Linked DNA regions of Notamacropus eugenii. The protein of the gene in region 2 purifies or fractionates together with the protein of the main gene of each other region. This does not show direct contact. Links are inferred from orthologs where the notes say so. Each region holds a gene or a part of one and is shown on either strand. Other genes may lie near its edges.

What was found. The genes of interacting proteins can lie anywhere in the genome.
Region 1: the proteins of CBX5 (region 2) and CHD4 purify together in Homo sapiens (affinity purification with mass spectrometry; 5 studies listed by BioGRID and IntAct, with this or other methods). This does not show direct contact. The link is inferred for Notamacropus eugenii from reciprocal best matches to the Homo sapiens genes CBX5 and CHD4.

Annotation. Positions count from the first base shown.
Region 1 is NC_092874.1:194,885,796-194,889,540, forward strand, and holds the start of CHD4 (chromodomain-helicase-DNA-binding protein 4), read right to left. Parts: upstream 2,609-3,745; 5' UTR 1,891-2,608; intron 1,728-1,890; 5' UTR 1,650-1,727; coding exon 1,553-1,649; intron 1-1,552. UniProt on the Homo sapiens protein: ATP-dependent chromatin-remodeling factor that binds and distorts nucleosomal DNA. Acts as a component of the histone deacetylase NuRD complex which participates in the remodeling of chromatin.
Region 2 is NC_092874.1:227,404,602-227,408,346, reverse strand, and holds the start of CBX5 (chromobox protein homolog 5), read left to right. Parts: upstream 1-791; 5' UTR 792-1,040; intron 1,041-3,745. Other genes in the region: HNRNPA1 (heterogeneous nuclear ribonucleoprotein A1), read right to left, coding at 233-247. UniProt on the Homo sapiens protein: Component of heterochromatin that recognizes and binds histone H3 tails methylated at 'Lys-9' (H3K9me), leading to epigenetic repression. In contrast, it is excluded from chromatin when 'Tyr-41' of histone H3 is phosphorylated (H3Y41ph).

The DNA.
Region 1 (3,745 bases), about 33 Mb from region 2:
AGGACAGGGGAAGATAGGGATTAACATCTACCCAAACAACTATGAAGGGTATAGCAGAGGCTCCACTACACACATCCGTGACCCCAACTTAGCCCCAAATCTAGAAGCATTTCTAAGGCAGCCCAGTTCTTGTCAAAAGTAAAGAAAATTAAAAATAAAAAAGATAGTCACTGGGGAACCTAAGCAAGATCAGTAGCCTTTGGAATGCAAGAATGGCTGGCTCAGATAACAAAAGCAGTAGTTAACATTTATATACCACTTTTAAGGTTTACAAAGTACTTTCCATACATTTTCTCATTTGAACTTCACAATAACTTTGTGAAGTAGGTTCTACACATCTATTTTCTCCATTTAACTGAAGACCAAACTGAGGCTCAGAGAGGTTTCTTGGCTGGCTAACGGCCACACAGCTAACAACAGAATGTGATTCCAGGGCTCACTACACTGTCTCTCTGATACTTCAAGATCCAATAGAAGAAGAAAGTTCTCATGAATAGACAATAGGGAGGATAAGAAAATCTGAGATGGGGAATAAAGAAAACAAGTAGGAGAACAAAAAGGCCAGTTTAGGGGCAGGAGAGAAGACAAGACAAGCATACAGCATCTCTCCATCTGAGCAGTGAACTAAAGCTCTGCTCCTCAGGACTGGTCAGTACCATCTCCGAAAAGCACAGGATAAATCAGACTACTTCAATTTGCCTGGTGCAAAGTCCCACCCCAAACACATATAACACACCTCTATACTTTCCTCTCCCCCTTCACCAAGATAAACATACTTTCCCAGACACAAAGTCTTCTGTTAAACATTCCTTCCCTAAAAAGAATGATGGAAAGTCTTTAAAAAAAATTCCTTCCTACTCAAATGTACTGGGGGAGCTCCTCTGCTCCCCAAACCCTCAAACCTTGTCTTCTAGATCATTAACATATTCCCTCAGCTTTCATTCCCCAACCAAAACACTCCAGCAATTTGCCTGGCTGCAAGTGCTCCATATCCCGGCTGTGAGCGAGATTCAAACTTTGCACAGTTCAGTCAGCAGAGAGAACAGAAAACCGGTAACTGATCACTGGCTAAAAATAAACTGAATAAGAGAACCCAGCAATCCCTGTTTATACTTTCCAAGGCATCACTGACCCCTACCCCCAAGACCCCACTAGATTTCAGGGAAGCTTGGCCACTCTGCCCCAAAACCCTAAGGCCAAGTCACAAAGCACTGGCTGACCATAACCTAAGCTTACTGCCACCCTATTCATTCTAAGCTTCACATAGAGCAAAATCTTCATCTCACCGTGAGCTCAGACCCTACAAATGGGCACAGATGGGCACTAAATGTCATCTCCAAGACACCTCAATCCATGATGCCCAAGGCAGAAACACATGGCTGCCATCACCCTTTTTACAGGGGAGCTCAGAAGAATTGAACCACTCCCTCTAGATACCCTCCCACCTCAGATCCTGCAAAGAGAGGCATTACCCAACCCTGCCCCAACAGTCACTAGGGGAAGGCCCCAAAGCCTCCTCTTTCCCAGCCTGTGGCCCCTTCTGAGCACTTACCTGGGTGGGGTGGGGGAAGGCTGTTTAGAAGCACCTCCATGTCCTCTTCCTCACTGCCTGCTGAGCAGGGGGATGGGGAGCCCAGGCCTGAAGCCATCCCCTTCCACTCCTGGCCAGGGAATTGGCCCAGCTGCTCCTGCCTCCGGCCTGGGGCCCTCTGTGCTGGCCCGAGTCACTGTGCAGAGGAGGGGGGAGGGGGGAAGAGACAGAGAAAGAGAGAGAACAGTCAGTGACGTGCACTGTCCCTGTCCCCCTCCCCCACCCCACCCCCACCTATTCTTTCCACCCACCACCCCACCAACCCCCCCTTGCCACTTGGGCCAGACGGCAAAACCCACTTGAACTGAACTTCGTTCTTCAGCGTTTCGGGGGAAGGGTCCGGGATGGGCCTCGCTCCCCGTGAGGAAGGCTAAGGCCAGAGGTGGGGCAGGGGCAGGAAGGAAGGGGCCCTTCCCTCCTCCAGGGCCAAGCGGGCATTGTGGGAGGACAGCTGAGGGCCGTAAGGAGAAGGGGCCAGAGCCCGGCGGGCTACGAGAGGGGCGATTCTCGGAGGCGGAAGGTCAGTGGGGGGCGGGAAGGGCCAGCTCCCGGACGCCGGGAGGGGTCAGTGCCCACTGAGGGCAGCTGATCCCGGGAGCGCTTCAGGTTTTCCAGGGAGCCAAGGGAAGGGGGCGGGTGGAGTCTCCAGACTTGAGCCCGGTCTGGAGCGGGGGAGAGAAGGGGGGGAAAGGGTCTGCAGGCTAACCTGGGGAGGGGGGCCAGGCCACGTGTCCCGGGGAACAAGCCCGCAAAGGGCAGCAGGGGGGGGGGGCAGGCGCCTAACACATTAGGAAGCCGCCCCCTCCCCGCTGTCCTGGGGGGCCGAAAGGGCCCACGGAGCCCGAGGAGGCGCCTCCAAGCCTTGGGTGGGGGAGGGCTCTGCTCTCCTCGGGCCCTTGGGGGCTCGGAGGGGGGGGCCGCCAGCCAGGTGTGAACGAGCTTTCTGCGGGACAGGGGAAGGACCCCCGGGGGAGTTTCTCTGGAAGGGGGTCTTTCCTTGGGGACCCCGCCCCCTCCTCACCCCGGAGCCGCGGGGTCCAGCTCTTGTAGCTCTCGCTCCCACTCCAGCTCCTCCTCGCCGCGGCCGAAGGGGGGAAAATGGCTCCGGCTCCGGCTTCGCCTCTTAAAGGGCCCGAAACACCGGCCGGGAAATCCCACAGCCCAAGCCCCGCCCCCCCCCCGCGGACAGCCCATAATAACCCCAACCAACTCCAACCCTCCCCAGTCCCCTTCCCCCCACCCTCCACCTTCCTCCCTGGATCTCCCCGGCAACGCCCGCCCCCTCGTCGCCCCAGCAACCATTGGCCCCGCCCCTTCATCGCTCGCGCGCGCGTGTCACCGGAGCAACCGCCCACCTCCCGGACATCCCATAATACTCGTGGACTCCCCCACTTCCATATACATATATGCCAGAGTTAGGGGCATCCCATAATACTCAGTTCCTTTGCAACTCAACCCTTTCTCCCCAAACATCCCATAATAACCATTCTCCTGCCAACTTCCCCACTCTAACCCCCCAGGATTGACATCCCATAATGATCCCTCTCACCCCTCCCTCTCCATGGCCATCCCATAATAACCACCCCTCCCAGCACTTCAGCCTTACATCCCATAATACTCACCCCCATCCCCCAACAGACATCCCATAATAACCACCCTCCATCCACCCCCAGTTTGACATCCCATAATATCCACCCTCGCCCTCTGCAACAACGGCCATTCAGGGCCCCTTCCCACACAACATCCCATAATAACCAGTCTCCCCCTTTCTATATAGACATCCCATAATAACCAACCCCATGGTAGCTCCCCCCAGCCCCTCCAGGCTAGTGTCCTCTGATAGTCTCACCACCATCATCCTCATCCTTTACACACTCACTCTGTAGTCTGGCAGCCCATAATAATCACCCCTCCCCTATATGCAGATGTCCCATAATGATCAGCACCCTCACTGTCACCCCACAGATGGACATCTAATCACCTCTTCCCTCAAGACATCCCATAATAATACAACTCTCCCACTCCAACCCAGATATCCCATAATAAACACCAGGGGCAGCTGGGCAGCCAGACATCCCATAATACTCCCAGAAACAACCTAGTGTCACATCCCATAATATCTCATTCTCCCCCCCATACTCTTCCAGCCAGGCA
Region 2 (3,745 bases):
AGAGCCTGTAACTCGAGGACCGCGAGGGCTAAAGGCTCATGGCGGCCGGGCCTACAAAATGGCGACCTAGGAGGGGGGGGTGTGGAAGGAGCAGGCCACAGCGACAGCAGGCTACAGAACTCACGGATAAAGGTCGTATTAGAGGCGTATTGGGCTAAGCACCGTAAGAGGATACGGGGAACAGAACAGAGAAGAACGAGATAGCACAATCGTTGGGCTGCGACTCCCTTACCTCTGACTTCGACATGGTGAGAGCGGTAGCAAAAGCTTCAGCGATCCTTCTCCAACGGTGTCGAGAACAGAAAGGAGATAGCTAACTAGCGTTTCTGTCTCCCCACCTTCGTACCCGCTTTTTAATCCCGCCTCCTCGCGTTCTGCATTGGTAGACTCCTCCCCTCCTTGTCAACCATTGGATAGCTCCAATCATTCTAGCTACCGATTGGTCTATGGTAGCGCATCTTTGCGTAGCGTAATGCGTTGCGTAAATTCCGCCCCGAGGAAGCTGCTGATTGGCTTCTGAGAAGTTCTTTTTTTTTTTAAAGCGCCTGATTGGCTCTCCTGCCAGTCACTCTTGTTTGAAGGTAACCAGTTTTTTTTAGGTAACTTTAATTTTTAATTGTTTAAAATATTACGCTATATTTAGGGAGGAAAACACTATTAAACGTGAAAAATTAAAAAAATAATAAATGACTAACAATTACTTCTTGGGCTTCTATTCTCTGAGAGCGCATGCGTAGTGCCACAGCCAATTAACGCAAGCGCAGTAAAAAGACCTGACGGCTATTTGTACAACGTGTAATGGCGGGGAAGAACGGACCTATGTAATACACCTGCGCAGTGGCGGGAGTCTTGTCCCTTTATGCGCATGCGCAGTGGGCGGAGGAAGGGTCCTTCGTTGGATCGCGTGCGCAAGCGCAGCGGCGGATCCGTTTTGGCGGGCGGTTGGCGTTGCGCAGAAGGCGGCGGTGGTTCCTTGTGGTCCGGCCTCTTCGCAGAGGAACGGGGACAAGGTTAGGGTGAGAGAACGCTCTCAGTCCCGGGTAAGTGGAAAACAACCATGTCTACACTTCTAGGTCCTTGGAGCAATTCCAATCGGGCCCGTTATTGTGTGAAATGAATGGACCGCTGGGGTGGGGGGGGGCGGAGGAAGAGCGACAGGGTTGATCAACCAATAGGCGAACAGGAGGCGGGTGTAATTGTCCTGATGGCCTGTCCTCTCGTCCAATGGCTGTATAGGAGGGAACCCAATGGATGAATAAGATTGACAAGACCGTAGACCAATTGAGACTCCATTTGGTGGTTCTTAGTAACTGACATCGATCCTTGGGCCACAGGAAGGCGGGAGGCGGGTTCTTTCCTGAGCTGGGACGCTCTAAGCAAATTGGAGAGAAGTGCGCGGGGAGGTTGGGCTCGCCAGAGAGACAAGGGTCTGAGCCCAATGTGAGAGATGAGGGCTGGGTCTTTCAGATAGATGGACCAGGCGAATAGCCAATGGGAGGTCAAACCAAGGAAAGCGCGCGGGGAGACGGCCCAATCAGCGCTCTGGCGGGGGGTGGGTTTAGATTTGGGGTTCCGAGGAAGGAGGATTGCCTTTTGGGGGTGGGGATCCCTAGGGGATGACTTGTTTTTCACGGAGGTCTGTGGGCTTGCCCAGTCCCATCTGTGGTCCTGTTCTGAGGCTTGTAAGCCTGATTGATCATCAGTGCTTGCCTTTTCTTCGGCCCTTTTTCCTCTTAGGGTTCAGTGCAGGCCAGGGAAAGACTAAGACCACATGTTTGTCTACAACCTTGCTTTGTACCCTATAGGCACACTCACCCCAAGACCACATGTTTGCAACCTTGCCTTGTAACACATACTTACACTGCAAGACTACATAATTTTTCTGGAATCTTGCTTTTTAGCACATAACACCCTCATCCAAGACCACATGTTTGTCTGGAACCTTTCTTTGTAACACGTACATACACTCCAAGACTACAAATTTCTTTGGAACCTTGCTTCTTAACACACATGTACACCAAGACCACATATTTGGAGCCTTATTTTTTAACATAACATAGATATTTGTCTGGAACTTGCTTTTTAAGGCACAAATATACACACACACACCTTCCCCATTTCACCCCTTTTCTTTTGCAATGAAGGAAATTTCAGACCTCTCTCTATCTAGTCATCTGGTCATCTGAAACTACCTCACTTGTAAAATGAGGAAACTTCCCAAGTAGCCATGCCTTGGGGAATCCAGAAGCCTTTCAATAACCAGGATGAATCCTTGAGGAATTGAGGTGATTCCAGATCCACACTTACCTATTCACATGTTCGTGAATGAAAGAAATGTCATCAGATGCTTTGTTCCAGACTAGTTCAGTAAGGGTTAATAATTGAGCTTCTTTGGAAGTAGCATAATTTAGGAAATTTTATTATATAGTCCCCTCTGACTTTGTACACAAAAGAAATAAAATTTTAAAAAGACATTTGGTAAATAAAAACTCAAAATTTGCTTTCCTGCTCATTTCCATTTTCTGTGATCTATGCAAAAGATGAAATCTTCTGAGGAGGCCCTGTAATTTCCTTGGTTTAGGGAAGCACAGAGTAAGGAAATCAAACTCCTTAAAGTGTCAGAATTCCTGGGATAGTTTAAGTGACTTGCCGGGGAACACTCAACCAGGATATATGTGTCAGAAACTAGACTTGAACCCATATTTTCTTAACTTCAAGACTATCTCTCTATCCACAATAACAGGATGTATCTGAAAGTGATCTAACTAGTCACAATCTCAGTATTTGACCACAAGGTGTGATGTGAGATGAGTTAAAATTAATCATTATATCATTTGTTTTAAAGGTAGGAGGGAAATGAATAATTTGATTTAATACCACATTTGATGAGAATCTCATGTGAACCTTTATCTGCCTTTCATATAAACTGGAGATTAAACATAGGGAGAAAGAGATATGCCATATGATAGTAGTATTTGAAAACCAGATTAACAAGTGTGTGGACTCTTTATTTAAAGATCTGATAAATCAGATCTATAGGCTTCACATTTTCCAAGAAAAGTGTATTTTTTGTGTTTTCCATGTATGGTTGAATAAAAACAAAAATTCATTAAAATTTTTATTATTGTTACTAACCTGTGACCTGTTAATTGCTATACATTTGTATTGTGTTCACAGACGTTGAATGCTTAAAATGAGTGTGAATGTGCTTTTGTTCAAAGTGGACTTTATTTCATTATTTCTTTTATTTTCAGCTAGGTTGGACCTCTTAACAAGCCATTTTAATTAAGTGGTTTGTTCACACTTTTTCTTTGGAAACTAGGTCCCCAAATCACTCCCTCTTCCAGTCAAGAATGGACAGCTGATTTACCATCTTTGGGAAAAGGTGTCTTCTTTGTCTGTGAGGATTCACCTTTGCAGCCTGTTAAATATGAAATGTGTGAACATGGCAGTTTGAATGACAGATTAAGTGAGTAAGGATTGGGAGGCTGAACAGCTTCAGGTTCAACCCCAGAAGTTCTTGGTTGTACAGCTAAAGTAAGCAACAGTTCTTGATTTAGTTTGTTTTGTTGAGAATTTTCCTCTTTTTAAAAAAAATTTTTTCGTTACATATTAAGTTCTAAACTGTCTCCCTTTTACCCTCTCTCCTCATCCTGAACTTAGAGAAGGCCACCATTTGAGACTGATGTGTGTGTGTGTGTATGTATATACACACACTCTCTATATATGTATGTGTACATACACA